Elephas maximus indicus: one gene and its partner. The protein of the gene in region 2 purifies or fractionates together with the protein of the main gene of each other region. This does not show direct contact. Links are inferred from orthologs where the notes say so. Each region holds a gene or a part of one and is shown on either strand. Other genes may lie near its edges. The genes, in order: AEBP2 and EED.

Region 1 (12,230 bases), on a different chromosome or scaffold from region 2:
GACAGCTGCTTCAGAGCACCTAGTAGAGTTCTGTTATGAAGTACATGCAAAAATTACTTTACATAAAAGTATTTTATTATCTCAACCATAAAGATCCTCAATAAATCTCAACAATAATCTCAATACGCAGCTTTCCAGTAATGACTTGATTTCAAAGTTTAGCCTCTATACTAGAAAAAGAACTTCCTAATCATGCTACTGGGAAGCAATAAAAGCCAGCTTTTCTAGTTTCAAAGCAATCTTAGTTATATCTCCAAGTTCCCAACCCAAAGGGCTGGGAATCCAAACCTTGACATGCACAAAAAGGTAAGACCCTTGTGGCCTTTGATGACCATTAACTTACTATAAGCCTATCACCACTTCCTCACATATATACTTTTCACTTGACGTCTGGATTTATCCCAAAAGGCTGTTAAAGTGGCTGAAAGTCATCTTAGCTTTTATAAAATAAGTTATGGCTTATATTCCAGTTGGAAGAAAAAAAACATAACATAAAATGTTGTTGTTGTTGTTAGTTTCCATCAGGTCAAGTCTGACTGACAGCGACCCCATGTGTGCAGAGAACTGCTCCAAATGATTTTCAAGACTATGACTTTCTGGAGGAAACCCTGGTGGCGTAGTGGTTAAGTGCTAACGCTGCTAACCAAGAGGTCAGCAGTTCGAATCCACCAGATGCTCCTTGGAAACTCTATGGGGCAGTTCTACTCTATTCTATAGGGTCGCTATGAGTCAGAATCGACTCAACGGTAGTGGGTTTGTTTTGGGTTTTGGGACCTTCTGGAAGCAGATCATGAGGCCTGTCTTTTGAGGTACGTCTGAGTTTGAACAGTCAACCTTTCACTTGGTAGTCAACTGCTTAAACTAACCAATTGCGCCACCCAGGGACTCCTTATATAAAAGACAAATAACCACAAAAAGAGAGCCTATTATTATCAACTCCCCTATACATAAAAAAGCTGAAGGTTCTTTTGTGCATAATCTGATTTAATAGCTAGAACTAACTTGTAAACTAAAAAATGTTACAGGCATTTTAAATTCTAAAACTTTAAATGCCAACTCAGCCTCTAAAATCACCTAAAGGAAAACCGTAGTAGCTTTTTTAATCGTAAGCTTAAGTTCAAAGTCAAAAAAAAAAAAAATTAGTTTTAATTGTCTAACATTATTCTCCCCAGAAAAAATTCTATTACCTTTGTAATCAAAGTAAAATTACATATCAATTTTACGATTTTCTAGATTTACTGACCAAAACCAACCCAGTGCCATCGAGTGGATTCCAACTCATAGCGACCCTACAGGACAGAGTAGAACTGCCCCACAGAGTTTCCAAGGAGCACCCGGTGAATTCAAACTGCTGACCTCTTGGTTAGCAGCCGTAGCACTTAACCACTACGCCACCAGGGTTTCCAAATTTACTGAAGTAAACACATTTACAGACTTAAGACAATTTTAAATAACTTTCTCCTGGGGAAAATAACTTTTTTTGTACAAAGTGTGATTTAACAGTTTGATAAATTACTCACTTTTCACCACACAACACTTCCAAAACAAGCTTGTAAAAGACACAAAAATGAAAATACCACTTTAGGTCATAATCTCTAAGTCTTTGTACTTAATTCTTCTTTTAAAGGAGATAATTAAAATTAAAGATATTTAAGAGATCTCAACAAATTCTAAAGCATTTCAGATACGCTCAAAACTATAATCTAATTTTGATATGACAAACTGAACAGGCACTCTAACAGAAACGCAGAGTAAATTCTGACACTGTAACAGTAATACCTAAATATTTTTAAAAGCACTTTAAAATCACAATATCTTTCCACCAGTTATAAAAGACTTTCTACCATCAAACCAATTTATAAAATCTCCACAGATTGGGTAACCTTCAGTACAATTTGTAGAAATTATGGATCCTTTCCAAATTTAAACTGAAAAAAAATTTTTTTCTTTAAATCCTCAAAGACAACAAGGGGACATTTCAGAATTAAGATTATTAAGACCACAAACCAGTTTCATTAGTAATGTAAGGGTTTTCATGCAAGTGATAAATCTATTAACCTACAACGGTATGTAAAAATTATTACAATATTTCACAGTTTCTAATGTTTGAGCATTCTTTAAGAAAGGCAACTATGCTTGGTTATGTAAGTTTTAACCTTACATGGATTTGTGACACCAAATTTCACTCCTACTCTAATAAGGTATGATGTAAAAATTATTCAAATGAATCTAATGAATATCAAATGAAGTCAAAACTCCATTCTGTGAAACATTACTTGACTAACAATTCCTGGTCTCCGGAAAGGATGCAGTTGACAGATATTAACACACACAACACACATATAAAAAAAAGAAACAACCCTGACATATACAACGTGTTACTTAAAGTGAATTATTCTAACTCTTGTAAAGTGGAAATAGCTGGTGACTTGGGAACCTTAAAGGAGCCCTGATGGTGCCGTGGTTAAGCACTCAGTTGCTCAATGAAAGGCAGCGGTTGGAACCCACCAGCTGCTCCACAGGAGAAAGATGTGGCAGTCTGCTTTAATAAAGACTGCAGCCTTAGAAACCCTATAGGGTAGTTCTACCTTGTCCTACACGATGATATGAGTTGGAGTCAACTCCACCGCAATGGGTTTTTGGTTTTGGGAACTTTCGTTCAGATCCAGCTCCACCGCTTTCAAACTATACTGTTTTGACATGGAACTCAACTTGCTTCTTCAGAGTTAAATGAAGTCAAAACAGTATTTAAACTGCACCATACTGAGGATGAAACGACTGAGACACTGGAACTGCGCAGTATCAGGCAAATGTGCTTGTGTCTGTAAGTATACTCACAACAAACTATGGTAGATGCCAACTACATAAACTACCATGAACTTTCAAGTACCCGATGATATCAATGACAGAGGAAATAACAAATGATAAATAGAATGTGCTTCACTGAACAGTTCACATCAATTTTTAATTTTCTTGAGAATACGTTCCTTCCTGCCCATGCCTATAGTTAAGTACAATATATCTAAGGTTTGCACAGTCTATTTACCCCATCCACAACGTTTTCTTCACAAGACGATAAAGTAGATGTCAAACAGAACCAAATGCTAGATTTTCAAAATATCCAAGCCCTTCTAGTCTTTGTTACATTAAAGACAAACTGATGTTCATTTTTATCAGTCAGCCATCACAATTCCTGTGGAACTTTAGGATACTTAAACTTTTAAACCACAATCGATCCTGACGGTTAGAAATTCTAGCAGATGCTCAAAATAAATTCTAACGTATTTAATCGGTACAATATGGGTGAAGTGTTTCTCTTTTTAAAAAATATATTAAAATACGAAGTTTTCCAAAGGGATCAAAAGTAATGATTGCAACAACTGAAGCATATACTACAACAATTTTCTAAAACGTTCTGAAAATACTGGGCACATTTTTAATTACTCTCCACATTATTTCCAATAAGCTTTAAAAAGTGGTAATAATCCCTTCATAGGCCTCTCCAATACATGACTTTAAATATTATCATCTAACATCACAATTCTCACTTTTAAGCATTACTGTAAAGAGTTTAAAACGGATACTAGTATGTGGTGCCTTCAAGACTATTTTCTTACGAGTCTTTGATTTAGCAAAGTTATTTTAAAAAACAATTCGTTATTCTTTCCTACAGTGATTTGGTCACAAAATAGATTATTAAAAATCACGCTGGGTACCACATTAATGACTACTAAAAGGGAATCTGGAAAGCATTCATTAAATTTAAAAGAATAGTCTTGTTTTAAGTAGAAAAAATGATAGTTGGGGTCTCCTTGCTGGACAAGGAAGTTATGTTAGATTCAAGCGAGACCAGCCATGTTGGAAAACACTTGTCAATAATAGTTCTGACAAGTGTTCACGAACACGCTCGGATGAAGCTAACCTTGTGTATCGTGGTATACATCAAGGTCTCCTGCTTCACCTGGAGGTCTGGGCCTGCTTTGGAGACTGTTTGGGAGTTAGACCCGTCCTTAGATCCGTAAAGAGTGGAAAGCTGAGGGGAAAGAGGGCGGGGAAAGGAGAGTTGGGGGGCGAAGGGAAACGGTTTGAGAGTTGGAAGCCGCTATCCGCTGCAAGAGGGGCGCGGCGGCGGGGAGCGATTTCCGAGTTGAGAACCTAAAGGAGGGGCCAAGGGTTCGGGGAGTAGGAGATCCCATCAAAAAGTCCCCCTGGTCCCCTCTGAGGGGGCCGGGAGCGCAAGAGGAGGGCAAGGGGAAACGCTTCAGCGCACTGACCTGTCCTCCGAGTCCATGCGGCTCAGGGGCTCCCCATCCGACGACATCTCCAAGCTGCCTCGCCGGCCTCCGGAGGTCGCGCTGCTTCCGCCTCCCCCGGTCCCGTAGCCCTCGTCTCCGCCGCTAGAGACGACGCTACTGCTGCTGCTGCCGCCCCCGCCACCGCCCTGGCTGCCCCGCGGTCCCTTGGGCTCCTCCAGGCCCTCCTTGCCGTCCCCATCGCCGCTGCTGCTGCTGGCAGCGCCGGGGCTCAGCGAGCGCGTCTCGTCGCTGCTGCTCCCGCCGCTGCTGCCCACCAGGCTCTCGGCGCTACTCTCCTCCTCGCCACCGCCGCTGCTGCTGCTCTCGTCCTCCTCCTCGTCTTCGTCCTCGTCCTCATCTTCCCCGGCCTGGCTGGCACTCTCGGGGCTAGGCTCCGACATCGTCTCCGCCTCGCCGCCCCCCACTCCGCCGCCGCCGCCCCCACCAACGCCGCCGTTCAGCAGCAGCGCCGCCACAGCCTCGGCCTCCGCCTCCTCTTCTTCCTCTTCCTCCTCTTCCTCAGGGGGCTCAGCCCGACCCCGTACCGCCGGGCCAGGGCTGCCGGGGGGCAGAGGGCTCAGGCGGGAGAGCTCCTCCAGGTCGGCCATATCAGTGATAGCGGAGGCCATGGCGGCGCCTACTCCTCCACCTCCTCGCCGCCGCCGCCGCCGCAGCCGCCGCCTCCTCTCTCGACTCTCGCTCCTTCGCCCCCTCCCAAACGCCCAAAACTCAGCCGACGCCGCTGCAGAGCAGGAGGAGGGCCCGCAAGCTGCGTCAGCCTGCACACGCGCTACGGAGCCCGCGCGGGGACAGGCGCGCGACTGCGCGCACTCACGCGGAGACAGCTGCGCGCCTGCGCGGCGGCACGTGGTGGCGCCTCCCCTGACCGCCGATCCCGCGCTCGTGTCCGCGCCTCTGCGCCCGCCCGTACCTCGTTGAGTTCTCGGAGTTTCCTCGGGAGCTTCCCACGTTTTCCACGGCCGCGCTTCCTCGGGACCTTCCCACGTTTTCCACGGCCGCGCAGTGGGCGGGACGCGAGGGAGCGAAAACCCGAGCGCAGGTCGGAGATTTTAGCAACACACAAAGTTCTCTCGATAAAGTAATTCACTTCGGAGCTTTTTGGCCCAGCGCCCGTACACAGCGGGCAATTTCCAGGCATAGAACAAGTCCGTGGCCGTCAGAGTTTACAATCTACGAGGAGAGGCGATTAAAATGAACGAAAATAGGTAACACCATAAAAAAACATGCAAGGTACTAAATCCATGTACACAACATAGAGCCACAAGTTTTTATTAGCCTGTGTCTGAATCAAAGCTTTGAACCGGTTTTTCTAACAAGTTGCCGAGGGATGCTAATGCGGCTGATAAGAGACCAATTCTGAAAACCACTAGTAGAGCCCAAACCAACACTTATTGCCCTTGAATCCATTACGACTCAAAGCAATCCTACAGGACAGAGTAAAACTGCCTCGTAGAGTTTCCAAGGAGAGGCTTATGGATTCGAACTGCCCACTTTTGGGTTAGCAGCCTGAGCTCTTAATCACTGTACCACCAGGCCTCCATTAGTAAAGCCCACTCACTGCCATTGGGTTGATCCTGACTCATAGCGACAGTATAGGAAAGAGTAGAACTGCCCAATGGGATTTCCAAGGAGCACCTGGTAGATTCCAACCACTGACCTTTTGGTTAGCAGTCATAGCTCTTAACCACTATGCCACCAGGGTTTCAAAGTAGTAGAGCAGTGGTTCTAAAATTTTATTATACATAAGGATCACCTGGGACTCTTATTAAAATATAGATTCTAATTCAGTATATCTGGGGTGGAAATGCAAATTCTCAGCAAGGGTTCAAGCAGCTCCCAGTTTGAAGCCCTGGTATCTTCGAATGATCCTTACCCATGTCTATCACGTTGTGTTTTCCCCTTTTATAAGACACCACTCAGAAGGGATTAGGACCCACTGTACTCCATTAAGGCGCCCTGGTGGCACAGTAGTCAAGCACTCAGCTGCTAACCTAAAGGTGGCCTCAGCACACCAGCTGCCACCTTCTCCTCAGGTGAAAGATAAGGCAGTCAGCTTCTGCCCTATTATAGGGTCACTTTTTTTTTTATGAGTCAGAAGTCACTATGAGTTGGAACAGCAGTCAAGAAATCAAAGGATCATTGGGCAAATCTGCTGCAGAAGACGTCTTTAAAGTGTTGAAAAGCACTGATGTCACCTTGAGGACTAAGGTGCACCTGACCCAAGCCATGGTGCTTTCAATCACCTCATATGCATGTGAAAGCTGGACAGTGAATAAGGAAGACCAAAGAACAATTGACAATTGATGCCATCGAATTGTGGTGTTGGAGAGGAATATTGAATATACCATGGACTGCTAAAAGAATGAATCTGTCTTTGAAGAAGTACAACCAGAATGCTCCTTAGAAGCAAGGGTGGTGAGACTATGTCTCACATACTTTGGACATGTTATCAGGAGGGATCAGTCCCTGGAAAAAGACATCATGTTTGGTAAAGTAGAAGGTCAGTGAGAAATGAAGACCCTCAACAAAGTGGATTGACACAGTGGCTGCAACAACAGGCTCGAGCATAACAAGGATCATGAGGATGGCTCAGGACTGGGCAGTGTTTCGTTCTGTTGTGCATAGGGTCACTATGAGTCGGAACCAACTGCACGGCACCTAACAACAACAACATGAGTTAGAATCGACTTGAAGGCAGTGGATTTGGTTTTGGGTAAGCACACTTGAAACTGTGTATACAAATTGACATTTAAGAGGTTTTTTTTTTTTTTTTAATTTCCTATGACCATAAAACTTTTAAGTGTTATTATTTAACGATCAAGCAAATATATTTCATTTTTTATAAGTAAGTATTAAACATAAAAGTAAAATTTTATTGGAAATACATCTTACAGAAATGGACTTGGATGGATTTTTTCAACTAGTTTATTTTGTCAGTGGATGAGTATTAACGAGAACAAGAAGGAGTTCAGCATGAATTCTGTTCTTTCAATTCTGTGCGTGTAAGTGTTGAAAAGACATAAGCGTTGAGAAAACTTGTTCACATAAATAAGTACATGCCAATGAATGGAGTTTTGTATAGCAATGTCACTCAGCTCTTTGCACTCCTTCCAAATTACGTGCCAAAAAAGTCAACAATGACACTTTTAACGATCTGTCAGCTGATAACTCTGACTAGACACTCCTTCAAATTTGTGGAAAGCAAGTAACTGAAAACCACCTGACTTGTAAAAGGATACTACCCATTCTCATTCACCAGTATTCCCAATTGTCCCCTTCTTTGGTGTCCCTGGAGGTTTTTGTCATCCCAGAGGTTTTTGCACCTTTCTAAAATTCTGGATGAGATGGAGTTATGTCTTTCATTTGTAAAATAGGAGGGGGGCAATTGGAATAAGGAAGTGGAAAAGGAGATCACATTATACCTTGACCAACTTCAAGGCACGTTTTCAGGCAGATCACTTTCAGGGGTCAGAGAACTGATAGCCTTAAAAAAAAATCTCTGCTTATTATACACATCTTGGAAGTTTTGTGTCCAGTATTATGTCCACTGCCTTAGGCCTTTGGACGGCTGTTGCATGGAATGTTGCCTCATGGGAAAGCAAAAATAATAAATAATTGTTTGTGGCATTATAGTTTACAAGTACCTTCTTCACACACACTAAAACCCAATTAAAAAGCCCAATGCTGTCAGGTCACACACACACTACAACATGTTAAACTCAGAGCCACAATATAGAGCATGTTAGGTAGATGGATAAGGAAGGAGTGTTATCGTCCTGTGCTGTAAATGAAGAACTATCACAGTTTAACTTGGTTCCTCAAAAGTGTTTGAGTGTATGTGCCAGGCAGTGTGTTAAGCACGGGGGAGTAGGCTCACTTTTGGCCAGGTTAATCGTGGAAAGCTTCATGAAAAATGTAGGATTTGAACAGATGTGTAGAGTTAAGATAAACGCTAACTACGTGTAAGTTTAATTTGAGCTGGATCTTGAGTGATTAGAAATACGTGTGAGGGGAAATTCTACGATTAAGAAGCAATAACATGGAAAAGTATAAAAATTTATTCAAGACAGTGTTTATTAGCCACAGGAAAGCAAAGCTAGAAAGCTAAAAAGAGTTAAAGACCAGATTGCAGAAGGTCTTGAATAAAAAGTTTTGATGTTGAAAGACAATGGGTATATACTGAGGTATTTTAATAAAGGTGTAATATGATTAGGGTTATGTTGTAATGCTACCTAATGCGTAGGGGAGAAAAAGTGAATGGAGATTAAAAACTCGCTGCTGTGGAGTCAATTCTGACTCATCACAACCTGGTAGGACAGAGGAGAGCTGCCCCATCCGGTTTGAAAGGCTGTAAATCTTTACAGAAGCAGGCTACCACATCTCTTTTGCTCAGTGCGGCTGGTTGGTTCAAACAGCTGACCTTTCAGTTAGCAGCTGAGCTCTTTAACCACTGCGCCACTGGAGCTCCGTGAATAGAGATTAGACACCTGGAAATAATAGTTATCGAAGCTAAAATGAATGCTCCAGCTGCAGTATTTACACCTGAAGACTAAAATCAGCTATCTCGGAATTGGCTTTATGGAGAAAAAGTGAATTTCCCATCACTTAGGATTTTTTTTTTAATTACCAATTTTCTGAAAAATTGCAAGAATTACATAATAAATACCTGTACACCTACCTAGATTCATAGATTACTAACATTTTACCACATTTGCATTCTCTGTGTCTCAAGTTCAGTTGCAGACAGCATTGATTTTTCGTGCATCTCCTAGGAACAAGGCCACTCTCCTACGTAACTGCAGTGTCTTTGCTTTCAAAATTTAATGCTGAAGTCTTTAACTACAGGAAGGACTTCCTATTGATAGAGACTCTCTAGGCAACATTAGGTGAGATGATGGATGATAGTGTACCACGCGTGGTCCACAGAGCAGTGTCTGTCCACGAACCGGCAGTTTGTCACTGGTCTGAAACGAGATGAGTACCGAAATTAATGTTTAGAAATGTTTATACCTACTTGACAGAGTAAATTGTCAAGGATTTCATTTTACTTGGATCCACAATCAACGCCCACGGAAGCAGCAGTCAAAAATCAAAGGATGTATTTCATTGGGCAAATCTGCTGCAAAAGACCTCTTTAACGTGTTAAAAAGCAAAACTATCACCTTAAGGACAAAGGTGCACCTGACCCAAGCCATGGTATTTTCATTTGCCTCATGTGCATGTGAAAGCTGGACAATAAATAAGTAAAAAACCAAACCAAACCTGTTGCCATCTAGTCAATTCCAACTCATAGCAACCCTATAAGACAAAGAAAAATTGATGCCTATGAATTATGGTGTTGGCAAAAAATATTGAACATACCATGGATTGCTAGAATGAACAAATCTGTCTTGGAAGAAGTACAGCCAGAATACTCCTTAGAGAAAATGCTGAGACTTCGTCTCAGGTACTTTGGACATGTTATCAGGAGTGACCAGTCCCTGGAGAAGGACATCATGCTTGGTTAAAGTAGAGGGTTAGCGAAAAAAAGGAAGACTCTCAACAAGGTGGATTGACACTGTGGCTGCAACGACAGGTTAAACAGCAGTGATTGTTGAGGATGGCACAGGACCAGGCAGTGTTTTGTTCTGTTGTACATGGTGGGGTCACTGTGAGCCAGAACCAACTCAACAGCACCTAACAATAACAACAAATCCAAAAATAAAAAATCAGAGCTTGTATTTTTAATATCTTTTTTAATTAATTTCATAATTCTGGTAATTCATTTTTACTGTATTTTATAAGTGTATCTGTCAGTTGGAAATTTACCAAAGAAAACTGGCCCTTCACACATTAAGAATCACTTTTCTACAGTTCCATCCTTCCAGCTTGGAGAGTGTGTGATTCTCTATGTAATTATCAATTGCCCAGTAACACCCATTGCATAAAAGTTGTTTGATTAGGAATATTATCCAAATCCATCAGTCACAGTACTTACTAATAGGATCAAATTAGCAACAATAACTCAAATTTCAGTGGCTCTTCTACCTAGCAAACCTACTAATATAGTCATGACACCTCCAACTTCCAGCAAAATGCATCGGAAAATATCTCTGAGAGCTCCTGCAGCAGGGCTTTCTCTCACATGCTCACTAACTCCTCTCCCAACCCGCTCCCTCCGCACCACCCCTGCTGAACCACTGTTCTAGGCATTGCAGGCTCCTACCAGGAACTGTGATACAAACAGCCAAAGCCACAGTGTAGTGTGAGGACATGGAGACCTTTGTGTTGATCTCTGTTAGGGGAACCCCAAAGCAGACTGCTTATGCCCAATATTTTACACAGTTTTCAGTGAAATAGCTCTTTATGGTCTTACTCAGAGCTTTGTCTCTCTCAGGGACCCAGACGTGCTCTCATGGGCCTAGATTGGCGACAGATCTGAGTAAGCTACCCCAGGCTGTATTTATTACTCCCCATCCAATGACTAAGTCTTTCTGATAAGAGTTCTCTGTCTAATTCTCTTTTCCACTAAAATGAGTTTTATTCTAGGAAGCAGCCTCAGCTCCCATGTAAGCAAGTTTCTTTCTGTACTTTCTCACCAGTTTACTAGACAAGCCCAGACATGCTTGAACCCCGGCAATAGACCCACTTTAGATTCAATCTGAGATTCCTCCTATACTATATGTGAGATGCTTCTGGAAAATTCTCTAAAATAATGCAGCTATTTCAGGTTTTGTGCCTTTAGGTTCCTCATTGTGTTATTACCATAGTGAGAAGTGTCAATAGCATAACCTCATTCTCTGACTGACTTGTAGTTTAAAGGAAGTATGTATGAAAAGAGGTAACATCTCACAGGATGATGAAATGATAGAACCTTAGAACTGGAAAGAACTAGAAATCGGATGCCAGCCTTCCAATCTGTAGGTTGTAATCCAACCAAAACAAAACCACATAATGATTTCTTTTTGAGTTAAAATCTGTCAGTGTAACCATTTTGAAATACAAGTGTTTTAGCTGATGCCCTTCCACAATAAGGAAATCATATACATGTGTATTACTTTGAATTTCATAAAATGCTTCTATAAACTATAGGTGAAGGGGTAGGCAAAATGTGAAAAGTGAATACATAAAGGCCTCTTTTTTTGGTCCTTTTATGTGTTTTATATCTGATTTGCTAGCCGAATAACTTTATTAGATGTTCAAAACCCAGTTATTAAAATTGGATCTGACAGATTAGTTATTGTAGCATAGCAGTCACAGTACCAGCTAATACTTTTATCCATCAAATCCCAGGAAAGGCAGGAAATAAGATAAATATTTAATGAGTGGCATACAAAGTCTCTGAGCAGTTTGGATAAATTAACTTGGCTTTTAGAAAGCTTCAAGCCTAATTAAAGCAACCCCCTTCTCTTTACTTAAGTGTACAGATATCCATGGCATCTATTTTGACTACTAATCTTAGTCATACCCTTATTTTTCCTCCCCTTTTTCCTTTCTCCTGTATTTCTTTACTTGCTTTTATATCTACCTTATGGGCCTATATGCATCCTGAGAAATTAGCTTAAATTATTTTTTCAATGAAGTGAGTTTTGTTGGGCACCCCCCAGCCTGCCAATCCTCCTCCCTTTTCACCACCACCATACTTACCTGCTGGGCACATGGCCTGCCAGCCTTACTTACAACTAGGTTTGCCCATGTGACTAGGTTATGACCAATAAACTGTGAACAGAATCACATCCTTAAAAGGAAGCTGCTTGCTTGGGGTTGAGCCAGCCTCAGCCATGCATACCAGGACCACACCCTAGAATGACAGAGCTTGGTCTGTACGTGACCTCATTGTGCAATGCCACCCACCCCTATGGACTAACAGCTCACACTTCTTATGAGTGAGAACTACTCTTTTAAATTGGCCCAATCAATATCTTAATACAGGTA
Region 2 (12,566 bases):
TTTGAATATTTGAGTTTTAGAACCCCCCGCCCCGAGCATTTTCCCGTGCATGTTTTCCTCTGCACTTTTAAACTCATGTGCCCTTCAAGAAGTGTAATCCAGGTTTCTGATTCACTTACACTTAGCTTATCAAAATCTCCTTTTACAGTTCTTTGAGACTCTGCGCCTTCTGAATGCTTGAACTAGCTCTATCAAGTCTTTGTTTTAAGCACCAGAAGTCACTGTTGCTCTTTCAAAGAAATGAAATAAAGCAAGAGCCCGAGTTGGAGTAAATTCAAAATCCTAATTTAGTTCCCTAGGTTCTTTTGTGGGTGTGTGTGCTTTAAGTGAAAGTTTACAGCTCAAATTCTCATACAAAAATCTATACACATTGTTATATGACACTAGTTGCAATCCCTATAATGTGACAGGACACTCCCCCTTTCACACTGGGTTTCCCCGTGTCCATTCAACCAGCTCCCGTCCCTTCCTGGCTTCTCAACTTGCCTCCAGACAGGAGCTGCCCATTTGTTCTCATGCATCTGCTTAAACTACAAAGCACACTCTTCACGAGTATTATTTCATGTCTTATAGTTTTTTTTTTAGTCCAGTCTAACCTTTGTCTGAAGAGTGGGCTTTGGGACCCTACGTTCTTTTTTAGAGCACGTTTATTTTTACTTTTACCACATCTTTACTTGAAACTTTCTTGTATATAACCCTGTTTAAGGTTCTCCATTACACATTTTAAAATATACACATAGCTTCAACCCAAGTAAGTTTTGCATAAAATATATTCCTTTCTTGCCTTTGTAGTATGTACTGTTGGTGGGTTAGTATCAAGGTCAGTGGTCCAAAGACAAACTGTTTTAGCGGTTTTTTTTTTTTTTTTTAAGTGCCTCATGTTGTTTTTCAGAATCTGTGTAATTTAATCTATGTAATTATCCTTTCAACACAAAAACTGCCCTGGTGTTGTTTTATTCCAACAAAAACAGCACAATCCAACCTGAGAAGCTAATACTCCTGAGACATAATGCAAGAACAAACCAGTATGTTCCCCAGGAAAAAGGAAAGCCAAATGTTAACAAAGAAATTGAAAATGCAGTTTTGCAATTCTAAAGGGCTAGCCTCACAGTTCTAAGTTAAACATCAGATCTCAGAACTGTTTGGGCACTGGCTTTAACTTAGGGATCGTAATGAATTTCTTTTGGCTGATTAGCAATCTTTCAGACAATTTAAAGATTACAAATGTTTAAAAGAAAAAAAAAAAACAACCAAAACTCCTGTTCCTCTGGCTTTGACACCTACAGTTTTATTTCATAAACAAGCATTTATCTATAATATTCCAGATTCTTAGATAATGACAGTTAATTAACTTGACAATAATTGTAGTCTATTTTTCAGAGAATTAAGTGCATAATATGTACCATGCAATCCACCAGGTGCTCCTTGGAAACCCTATGGGGCAGTTCTACTCTGTCCTGTAGGTTTGCTATGAGTCGGGATTGACTTGAAAGCATTTTTTTTTTTTTTAATGTACCATGCACCAGACAAGACTTTGCCCTCAACAACAATATACTTAACACTTAAAATCAAAATTAAATACAGAAATATTCTTTTCAGGAAATGAATGAGAATTGGGCTATTTAAAATATTTATCTGTTTTTTAAATCAAAATGACATATTTTCTTAATCTAAAAGCATTACATGCTTATTACCAAAAATACAGAAAAATAAAAAGAACGAAAGGAAATACACAAGTACACCAACCCAGAGATAAACACGTTGGCAGCTCAGTGGAAAACCATATAGTGCAGGAATTAAGAACTCCGGTTCCAGAGTTAGGCAGTGTGCATTACATTTAGTAGTTCCATCACTTACTGCCTCTGTGACTTTGAACTAGTAATTTAATTTCTCTGTCTCAACTTCCTCATCTGTAAAACAGAGATGTTTTGAAGATTAAATGAGATAAATCATACAACATGCCTGGCATATAGTGAGTGTTCAATGAAATTTACCTCTTGGTTCAATTTTCTAGATACTTTTTGTCTTAGTGTTTGAGTGGGAACGTTGTTGGTTTTGATTTACGTTTGAAAAGAGTGCTGAAAGTCTCAGAAGAAAGTCACTTATAGTCAGCATATGTTTTTCTTCATACTTTTTAAAAACTATGTAAGGAAAAAATTGTGGATAAGATCTTATTATTCTTAAAATCAAGGCTGCTGATTTTAAATCAAGAGCAACCCTTTATTTTGTCCAGAAAGCAAAATACATTTATCATTCAACAATTTTTCACACAGTAATCCATGTTTTAAGCTCTTGCACATGTATTATCTTGCTTAATGCGCACAATAAACAAACCTCTTTTAAACACAAAACACTGGAATTACTTTCGTTTTTTAAAAGCTAACTTCTCCCTTAAATTAATGATGGACAATTGACTTTTGCACTTGCCTCCTAAGACTGTACTTGAGTTTGGGGAGAAGTGAAATTACATCATGTCTTTCTGCTCAATACCAAAAGTTAAAAATCCCATCTTCTTTCCTTCAACTTCTGTCTTGTTTAGAGATCACATCACTCAGGAAATCAGCCAAACTATCAACCTGAGTCATTCTATGCCCACCTCCCACCACCCCACATGTTGCTTGAGTTACTGAGTCCTGTTGGTTGAAATTCTTAAATATCTCTGGAAACAACCCCTTGTTGTCCATCCTCATCGCCACTGCCTTAGTTCAGTTCTGCAGTTTTGCAATGGCTTCTGAACTCATCTCTCTACCTCCATTCTTACACCCTGACCACTGCCAAAGTGAAAACTCTTCTTCGGTCATGCACTGCTTATCAATGGCATAAGGCTTTTCATGATCTGGTCCCTCCCCAGCTAACAAGACACTTATTGATATGCCATAAGCCAAAGTATTAAACTTATGCTGTCACCTCTCAGGTGACTAGAATATGAATGTCCACCCGTTAGTGTTACTTCCTTGCTGTTATTAAGGAAACCAGAAAACTGAATTATTAATCATAGGTAGTACTCAGTAGGCAAAGAACAGAGGGCTTTTTAAAGGGACTTTGTCTTACTTTCCCTTTTACTCCCCACCTTCCATCCCCATGGATACTGCTTTGCATATAGACAGTATTCAGTAAATTTCTCCTTATTGATTTTGAAATGTTCAAAGAAGCCATATGATCTTATGTTCACAGAAAAATAGATCTGTAAGCATATTATTACACATTGCAGGAGTGATGAACAGCTGTTATTTATGAAGCAGAAGATACAAAAAATGTTGAATGAATGAGAAATAGACTTCAACTGAAATAGAAAAGATTTAATTTAGCTCTTGAAACTCATTTCCTGATATGAAACTTACAAGATATTGGAAGACAATACTAAGGGAGGTTGCGAGTTCTCTTTTTTTATGTAACTAAATGATCTTTGAAAGTTTTTCAAGATAGATCAACCACTTTCTTGAAAGCTAAGGGGTATTTCTGATGAGAGTTCTCAACAGTTCAACAGTCTAACATGAGATAGCTTTTTTTTTTTTTTTAAATAAATTTTTATTTTGGGATAATTACAAAGTTACAAAGATAGAATAGCATTTGTGTATACTCTTTATCCAGTTTGCCTTATTGTTAACCTGTTACCCCCGCTGTTAACATGTTACAAAACCAAACCCACAGCTGTGGAGTCAATTCCCACTCACAGCAACCCTTTGTAAACTTCTACAGAAGCAGACTGCCACATCTTTCTCCCGTGGAGCCGCTGGTGGTTTTGAACTGCCAACCTTTCAGTTAGCAGTTGATCGCTTTAACTACTGCACCAGCAGGGCTCCTTTACATTGGTACATTTGTCAAAATTAAGAAACTTAAATAGTACGTTATTATTAACTAAACTCCAGAATTTATTTGGATTTTCCTGTCATGTCATCCTTCTGTTCCAAGAGAGATAGCCTTTTTTATGTTCTTTGAATAGTGTGTAAGACATTGGCCTAAAGATCAAGCTCTGTGCATCCCACTGCAGCATGGGATTACATAAATCTAGAGTTGCTTGGGTCCTTCATTTTGAGGCTTTGGAGTCAACCAGCCTTGAATATGCTCCCCAGCCCTGCCACTTGCAGAGCCAGGTGTTTTCAGGTAAAGTGTTTAATCACCCTGGGCTTCCGTTTCCTCATTTGTAAAATGCAGGTGGTAAGACCTCTTCAACTGTGGTGGTTCCTGAGATCCTCCACAGTAAGAGAATTCAGTGTTGAGAAACTTACTTTAACGTATTATATTAACTTAATACCATCAGGGTAGCACTCTAAATAGAATACCTTTGATATTTTACATATCCTAAACTAGTAATAATGAATATTAATGAAGTAATTTCCATTTATCATGCTTGACTCACCAGAACATTTTTAAAAAATTCCTCCAAGTTTTAATAAGACACTTAAAATATTTTTGCTTTGTTACAGATAATGTTCATGCTGAAAGGCATTTTCCTCCCATAGGTGTCCATTATTCAGAAGTTCAACACTTTTCTGATTTTATGACTAGAAGTTGACTCCCAGGTTCCAGTTTTCATTGATCCCAGACACAGAGTAATGTGGATTTGAAATACTTTAGTTGATTATCCTTTAGTTGTAGACATATATTTCACATTCTTCCCAACAGGTAAGGGGAGTATGTTTGTCTCTGCACATCTTACTTTCTCAGTAGCTGACTCCATACCACTCTCATCTCTCTTCTCACCAACTAAGGAGTGCTTAGCAGTACCTGGCACATTAGGATTCAAACAATAACTGCACTTATTATTATTAAAATCTCAACTTAATTTTTTTTTTAGCTTCCTTATTTTCCTGAGTTTTCATTGCAAAAACCTCTTATTTTGCCTTTACCACACTTTTCTCATTCTCAACCAGGAGTTCTCTTCTTATCTCCAAAACAGTGACTTGCAACCTGCAGATAATGAAATTGATTTTCTCTCTGTGAAAGCATCATGCAGAAGTAATTCACGTATACTAGAATGTTATGGAAGGGGCAGTCTAGACTGGCAATCTTTTGGGTGATGTAACAAAGTAAAAAATGAGAAAATGTACATAAAATCAAGTCCGTGCTCAAAAAATTTGTATCCTTTATTTTTAAAGATGAGGACACTGAGTCACAGAAAGATAACTTGTCACAACCATGTTCTAAAAAAAGGTGGGAGGGGCTAGATTTTATCTCCTGTCATCCTTCTTTTCCTGCTGCTCATTCAGTTACGCGGCTTAATGACCCATGTACCAAATCCGCAAAGTTCACCAATATATTTGGCACCGGTCAAGAGCCCAGATATGGTAATACTCATAAGAGAAGCATTTTGGTGAAGTACAAGTTTTAGTGCTGTCTCAAAAATTTTATTATACCTGATGTGCCCCCCCCCCAAAAAAAATTGTCCGTCGTTTTAGTCTCATCCATTGTTGGAAGCGACCACTGATTTATGGGCCTTGGCGTTGTCTGGGCCTTAATGATCCTTCAGCAATTAAAAAGAGGGCTTCGGCTATAATTCTTGAAGGTCTAGAATCATATTATGATTACAGAATATTCCTACTTAAGCCTTAACCAATATTGGCACCAAGTGGGTGAGAATAAGCATTCATCGCAATAAATACTCATCAGAATAAATATCCACCAAGAATTTAAAATGCATCCTGAGACTAAGACTTGGTAGCGCTTTGGAATCCATCCTGGACTACGGAAACCGACTAGAACTCTACCTGGTTCAACAAACAAGATTTCGAAAAGAGGAGGGGTGTAGAGGAGGCGGGTCCGGATGGACCAGCGCGAGAATACGCTCCGGCGCATGCGCGTCTCCTAGCTAGTAACTTCCATTTCTAGACGGGGGAGGCGAATGGAAAGCTGTCTACAATTTTGGAACATCTATTCCCAAAAGAAAACTAAGTTGTGAAAGATTTCGTGGAAAACCATAAGAGAATTATCCTCCGAGTTGATGACTAAGGATATGCTTCGCACACGCCGCTGAAGCAAGAGGTGACTTCTCGTGTTTTCCCCCGTCCTTTGGGACATTGGTGGTCTAGTCCATTCCACATACTTTCGAGCCCCTGCAGCGGGTCGAGGATCGAAGGTTTGGGCCAATTGCGGCTGAAACGGCTTTGGAAGGAGAAAGAGAGTGAGGGAGAATCCCTCTGAGTTCCATCTCTCCTTTTCGAGGCGGGAGTGGTAAAGGGGACGTACGAAATACTGCCCTCGAAAGCCAACGGATCACACCTCTCCGTGCAAATTGCCAGAGGACTGCGGGAAAAGGGCAAGAGGATAGTAGCGAAAGGGAAGGAGCCAGAAAGCCGCGCGGGAGGGCGCGCGAGCGCGCCCCTTTTTCAGCAGTGTGGCGGGGTCGCACGCACGCCCGCCTCGGCGGCTGGGCGCGGTTTGCGACAGTGGGGGGAGCGGTGGCGGTGGCGGCGGCAGTGGCAGCTTTACGGCAAGCTCTGGCCGGGCTTGCTTGACGGCGGTGTGGCGCAGGCCCCGCCCGAGGCGGCAGGAACCTGGAGGGAGGCGGAGGAATATGTCCGAGAGGGAAGTGTCGACAGCACCGGCGGGAACAGACATGCCTGCGGCCAAGAAGCAGAAGCTGAGCAGCGACGAGAACAGCAACCCAGACCTCTCTGGAGACGAGAATGTAAGTGCAGCCCGGAGCAGTCCGGTCGGTACTCTGGAGTGAAAGTTTTAAATTCTTTTTAAACTGTAGGCGCTGGGGCGGGCGGGCAACCGTAGGGTGGAGGGAGAGGTGTCACCCTCTACTCAGGAAAACGCGGGCGTGGAGGAGAAAATTGAACTTGTCTCTATGGGGATGTTGAGCTGGGGCCGAGGGCAAACAGAAACGTGGGGAAGGAGGGTGATTTAAATGGTTGTTTGATGAGCAGAGGGTCTGAGGTGGTCTGCTCTGAGATCCTCTTGGTGTATGATTGACGGGAGGGAGAGTGTTTAGGCCTTCGGGTGATTTTGGGAGAGTGCGGATCTGAGATTCCAGTAGTTTAAAAGGCGTGTTAGAGATTTTTTAAGAGAGTTGGAAAGAGGGGGATAGTCTGTTAGGGCCTCTTAAGGACTTGGGGGACGGTGTCACTCATAGACCCTTGTGAATTTTCAGGATGGAAAGCATAAATCTTCGACTTATTGGGTTTGGGTAACTTTTAAGGGGATTTTGTGTCTGCTCCTGTCCTGCTCATGGAGATGGAAAAGCAGATTGAGAGTCACCTTCTGACGTGTAGGGGGAATGACTTTGAGGAAGAAATGAGAAGGGATGGTTTCTCCTTTGAAAGTTGTTATTTCAGATAAGCGGGACGACCTAAGAGAATTTAGGCAACTGAGTGGTGAATGCAAATTGGCTTTGGAATCAGACTTTTTTTGTTTAAGTTCTGAGATGGATCTTGGTAATCATGTAGTCCCAACAGTTTACAAAGCTGTGTTTAGATGACTCGCCTGTAAAAACCGAACTGACATTAATAGATGTGGATTGAAGAATGAAATTCACTCTGCAAGTAATCCAGCTAAAATTCTTTTTTTGAAAAATGAATGTATAGGTAAGAGTAAGTGAATGATGATTAGTGAAATATACTTGGAACTTCCAGGTGGTAACAAGAGAAGGAAGTTTCAGATTTATTTAGGATCCCATGGAAAGCCTAATATTGTTTTGGTTTGTGTACCAGCCTTTTTCACTAGAGAAAGGATGGACCTTTTCTCCTTCAATCCTACAGTGTGCTTTCAAATCGCTTGGGTTTTATAAAAGTGGCAAAATAAGTTCAATAGATATTTTGGAGTAATTGATTCTTCACCAGGTACACAGATACTGGTATATAAACCAGGTTCTTGTTCTAAGTTATATCCAGTAAGGTCAGCAAAATGTCCGACTCATAGCAATCCTATAGGACAGAGTTGAACTGCACCATAGAGTTTCCAATGGCTGCTGCCACTTCTTTCTCCCCCAGAGCAGCTGGTGGATTCGAACCACTGACCATTTATTTGGTTAGCAACCAGGTGCTTAACCACTGTTCCACCAGGGCTCCTTAAAATGTCTAAAAGATTGTTCATTCAAGGCTATTACTGCAAAATATGAACCCTTCCTTATCATAGTATAATAATTTCTCAGTGCGTTAAGAATTTTTAAAGGGTTATGCTTGGGTGGTGTAAGTTCTTCATTTTCTGAGTTTGGCTAGTTTTTTAGGAATTGTTATATCTTACACCTTCAGTTCCTAAATTCTATATCATAAACACTGACGCATATATATGGAGACTTTCTTTTTCTTTATTTTGATGAGTAGGTTTGTTAACTTTCTTTGAAATTTATCCCTATCTTCCTAAGTTTAAACCGGTCTTTTATTACTTGGTATTGCCTTGACGTCCTCTCTATTTGGAAGTTCTATACCTGTATTGTTTATTCCCTTTTTTTATTGTTCTGTCATTGTCATTTACAGATCTCTCTGGCTCCGTGTTGTAAATCTTTTAGTTTTGTTTTATCCTTGGGAGTTCATTACCTAGGGTAGTGTCTGACTGATACTGTCTTGTGTCCTAGATTCAGGTTGATGTCTGATATTTTTGGTTCTCTAACTGAAGGACTTTCTTTAATAATTCTTGTAAGCTTGGCTTGGTTTTTACATATTCCCTTAATTTCTGTTTATCTGGAAATGTCCTAATTTTGCCATCATATTTGAGCAAGAGTTTTGCAGGATATATTCTTGGTTGGCAGTTTGTCTTTCAAGGTTTTATGTATGTCATTCCATTGCCTTCTTGACTGCATAGTTTCTGCCCAGTAATCAGAGTATAGTCTTATTGCTTCCCCTTTTGTATGTAACTTAGTTTTTCTGGAACTGCTCTTAGGGTTCTTTGTCTTTGGTTTTAGCAAGCGTGGTTATGATATGTCTTGGTGATTTTCTCTTGGGGTCTATCCAATATGAGGTTTGTTGAACTTCTTGTATGGTCAGCTTTTCGTCTTTAGGGAAGTTTTCTGTCAGCAAGTCTGCAGTGATCCTCTCTGTGTTTTCCATTTTCTCCCACTGTTCTGGAACTCCCATCACATGCAAAGTTTTGCTTTTGATTGTATCCCACATCGTTCTCAGGGTTTCTTCATTTTTCTCCATTCTTTGATATTTCTTCAAAGTGGTGTCCATAGATTTGTCTTCGATTTCACTGATCATATCTCCTGTTGTTTCAGATTTGCTCCTAAAACCTATTGCATTGTCCATTTCTGGAATCTTATTGTCATTTGAATTTCTAATTGCTGTTTTTTTTTTTTTAATGATTTCTAGCTGTTTATTTTGATGTTTTGTTCCTTTATTTTTCTTAATTCTTCCATTGCTTTGTCTTTGTTTTCCCTGATTTTTCTCTATATTTTCCATGATTTTGTCTATTTTTTCCTTATTTTTGTCTGCATTTTCTTCATCTCTTGGAGAACCCTGAATTTTAGAGTTTTGAATTCCCTATCAGGTAGTTTCAGTTCCTTTTCTTCTACCAGAAGGTCATTGGTGTTTTATTTTGGTTGCTTTCTGGAGCCATCCAGTTATGTTTTTTAATGTGTTTTGATATTGTCTGCTGTGGCCTGTACATTCAGGAATTATTTTCTTAGTTTACTGATTGTAGATTTGTTTGTTTCATCCCCCTTTTTTGTTCTATTTGGTTACATCTGGGCAGGCAGGCTGGGAGTGTTTTGTTACTTGCTCACCTGTCGGCATGATACTTCTTTCCACCCAATCCAGGTGAGCAGGTCCGGTCACTCAGCTATGGTGCATCAGGGTAGGTCCAGCGGAAGTGGAGGGGTGGGGATGGGTAGTTTGCAACACAAACTGGGGACTACAAGGCAGGGCTGGGAGCAGTGCTGGGTGAGGTTGGGGCGGATCATGTTGGTGCTGCTCAGGGGCGCAGTGCAGGTAGGCAGGAGGGGCGCAGTGCAGGTAGGCAGGAGGGGAGGGAGAGGATGTGATGCATAGAGCTAAGTGGGTGAGTGAGAGAAGAGAGGAGAGAGAGAAACAAAAGCAAAAAAATGAAGGAAAAAAGTAAAATGACTGGTAGGATTTGGTGAGTAGGGGTGGAGCTGACCCAGCTAGGCCATGTGCTGGTGGCTCTCTAGCCAAGTGGTGCAGCTTGACCTGTTGAAAAGGGGCATGGGTGGTGCACGGGGCTAGGTGGGTGGTAGAAAGGGAAAAAAAGGGGGGGGGGGGGGAGAAGAAACCAACAAACAAAGAAGTAAAGTTAAGAAAATAAAAAATAAATAAAAGCAACAACAACAACAACAAAAATATGGTAGGAAGGGAGCCAGCTGTTGGGGGCGAGGTGGAATTGGGGTGGTGGCAAACTGATGTTTCACTCTGGACATGTCAGGAAGGGGCAGAGGCAGCACAGGGCCTAGGTGGGAGTGAGAAGGAAAAGGAAGAAGGGGAAAGATAAAGAAAAATAAAGAATATGGTGCTGAAGGAGCCAGCCTGTGAATGCGGCACAGACCTGGGGAGGCCGTGTGTCAGAGGCTTTCCAGCCGAGTGGTACAGCACAGCCCACCAAGAAGGGAGGTGTGGTGCATGGGGCTTGGTGGATGGGAGAAAGAAAAAACAACTAAAAAGAAAAACAAACAATATATAAAATGGCACTGAAGGAGCTGGTTGGTCATGGCACTGCACCATGTTCTCTGAAAAAGGGGAGGGGATGGCACACTAGGCTAGCTGGGTGGGAGAAAGGAAAGGAGAGAGAGAGAGAGAAAGGCAACAAAAAAAGCTTAAAAACAAAAAAATGGCGCTGAGGGGGCTGGCTGATGGGGGTGGGGTGGACCCAGGTGGCAGTGAGCTGGTGTGTCACCGGCCAAGTCACTGTGGCCCATTGGAAAGCGATGGAGGCCTTGTACAGGGAAAAAGGGTGGGGGGGTGGGAAAGCATGTATCCCTGGTTACTGGGTGCTCTTTCTCCACGAAGTTGCCTTTCTATACTCCTTGTCTGTGTTCCTTGGTGGCTGTAGTCCAAGATGGCAAATCCGTACTATGTTAGCTGAAAGGGGACCTCTATTCGTAGCCCTCCTTGTTCTTTGTTCTCTGTCAGTTTCTTACTCCACTGGGTGCTTGCTTGAGCTCTTTATTCCTTCATTTGATGCTTAGGGTTCCAGGATTGATGTTTGTATCTGTTTTACTTAGTTTTTCATTTTTCAGGTCTTTGCTGCAGAGGCGTGGCATGCTGCTTCTGTCTATAGCACCATGTTGGCTCTGCCTCCCCTGAATCATATATACAGCATGGTGTCATTACCAAGATTTTCACGGAAGAGGTGGGAAAGGATTCTTTTTGTAGGTTGAAGAAAGATATTTTAGGATTGTCAGCTTGTAGGATCTTAGACTTGAAGTTTCTTGGAAAAGTTTGGGTGTTGAATGTTACTTAAAATCTTTTTTTTTCCTGTTTGTGCTTCCCATATATATTGGGGTCTAACATTTTTGACCCTCTTCATTCTAGCCCTTGGAGCCTGTTACACTTCCTGGATTTTCTTAAACTTCTCTAGACAGATTAGACTAGTGGTTAAGAGCACAGACACTGGATCTAAATGCTGGGTTAAAAATCCTCTTCATTGATTGTTTGACCTTGAGCAAGGTACTTAACCTCTGCCTCAGTTTCTTATTCAAAAAATGGGAATGATAATGATACAAAGAGTACTTAATCTCCGTCTCAGGTTTCTTATCTGAAAAATGAAGATGTTAATGGTGCAAACAGTTAAACACTGGACTACTAGCCAAAGGATTGGCAGTTTGAAAGCACCTCAGAAGACAGGCCTGGAGATTTGCTTCCAAAAGATCACAGCCTTGAAAACATTATGGAGCAGTTCACTCTGCATGCATGGGGTTGTGGGATCAATTGGTCTGCAAGTAACAACAGTGGTATTTACTTCTTGGGATCTTTTTGAGAATTAAATGAAATAATATAGGTAAAGGAAACCCTGGTGGTGTAGTAGTTAAGTGCTACTGCTGCTAACCAAAAGGTCTGCAGTTCAAATCCACCAAGTGCTCCTTGGAAACTCTATGGGGCAGTTCTACTCTGACCTATAAGGTCACTGTGAGTCGGAATCGACTCGACGGCAACGGGTTAATATAGGTAAAGGGCTTAGAACAGTACCTATTCCATAATAGGTACTACCAAAAATAAAAATAAAAACCTGTTGCCATAGAGTTGGTTCCGACTTATAACGACCCTATAGGACAGAGTAGAATTGCCTCATTGAGTTTCCAAGAAGCAGCTGATGGATTCTTAACTGCCAACCTTTTGGTTAGCAGCCCTTTTGGTTAGCAGCTGTAGCTCTTAACTGCCGTGCCACCAGGGTTTCCAATAGGTACTATACAAATGTTAGTTATTTATAATAGTTATTTTGTGATCATGTAGTCCACACTCCCTTATACTTAATAATCAGGCAGAATGTAACGAATATGCCAGTAACCTGTTTAGACTGAGAAAAAAAATCAGGACCAAATAAATTGAAAGTTTATTTTCTTTTTGCAGACCATTAAAGGGAATATTGGAAACTCTGGTGGTGTAGTGGTTAAGTGCCGTGGCTGCTAACGAAAAGGTCGGCAGTTCAAATCCACCAGACACTCCCTGGAAACT

Evidence for each region.
Region 1: the proteins of EED (region 2) and AEBP2 purify together in Homo sapiens (affinity purification with mass spectrometry; 6 studies listed by BioGRID and IntAct, counting the BioPlex papers as one, with this or other methods). This does not show direct contact. The link is inferred for Elephas maximus indicus from reciprocal best matches to the Homo sapiens genes EED and AEBP2.

The regions. Positions count from the first base shown.
Region 1 is NC_064822.1:78,272,161-78,284,390, reverse strand, and holds the start of AEBP2 (zinc finger protein AEBP2), read right to left. Parts: upstream 5,118-12,230; 5' UTR 4,925-5,117; coding exon 4,275-4,924; intron 1-4,274. UniProt on the Homo sapiens protein: Acts as an accessory subunit for the core Polycomb repressive complex 2 (PRC2), which mediates histone H3K27 (H3K27me3) trimethylation on chromatin leading to transcriptional repression of the affected target gene.
Region 2 is NC_064825.1:35,345,433-35,357,998, reverse strand, and holds the start of EED (polycomb protein EED), read left to right. Parts: upstream 1-6,141; 5' UTR 6,142-6,514; coding exon 6,515-6,628; intron 6,629-12,566. UniProt on the Homo sapiens protein: Polycomb group (PcG) protein. Component of the PRC2/EED-EZH2 complex, which methylates 'Lys-9' and 'Lys-27' of histone H3, leading to transcriptional repression of the affected target gene.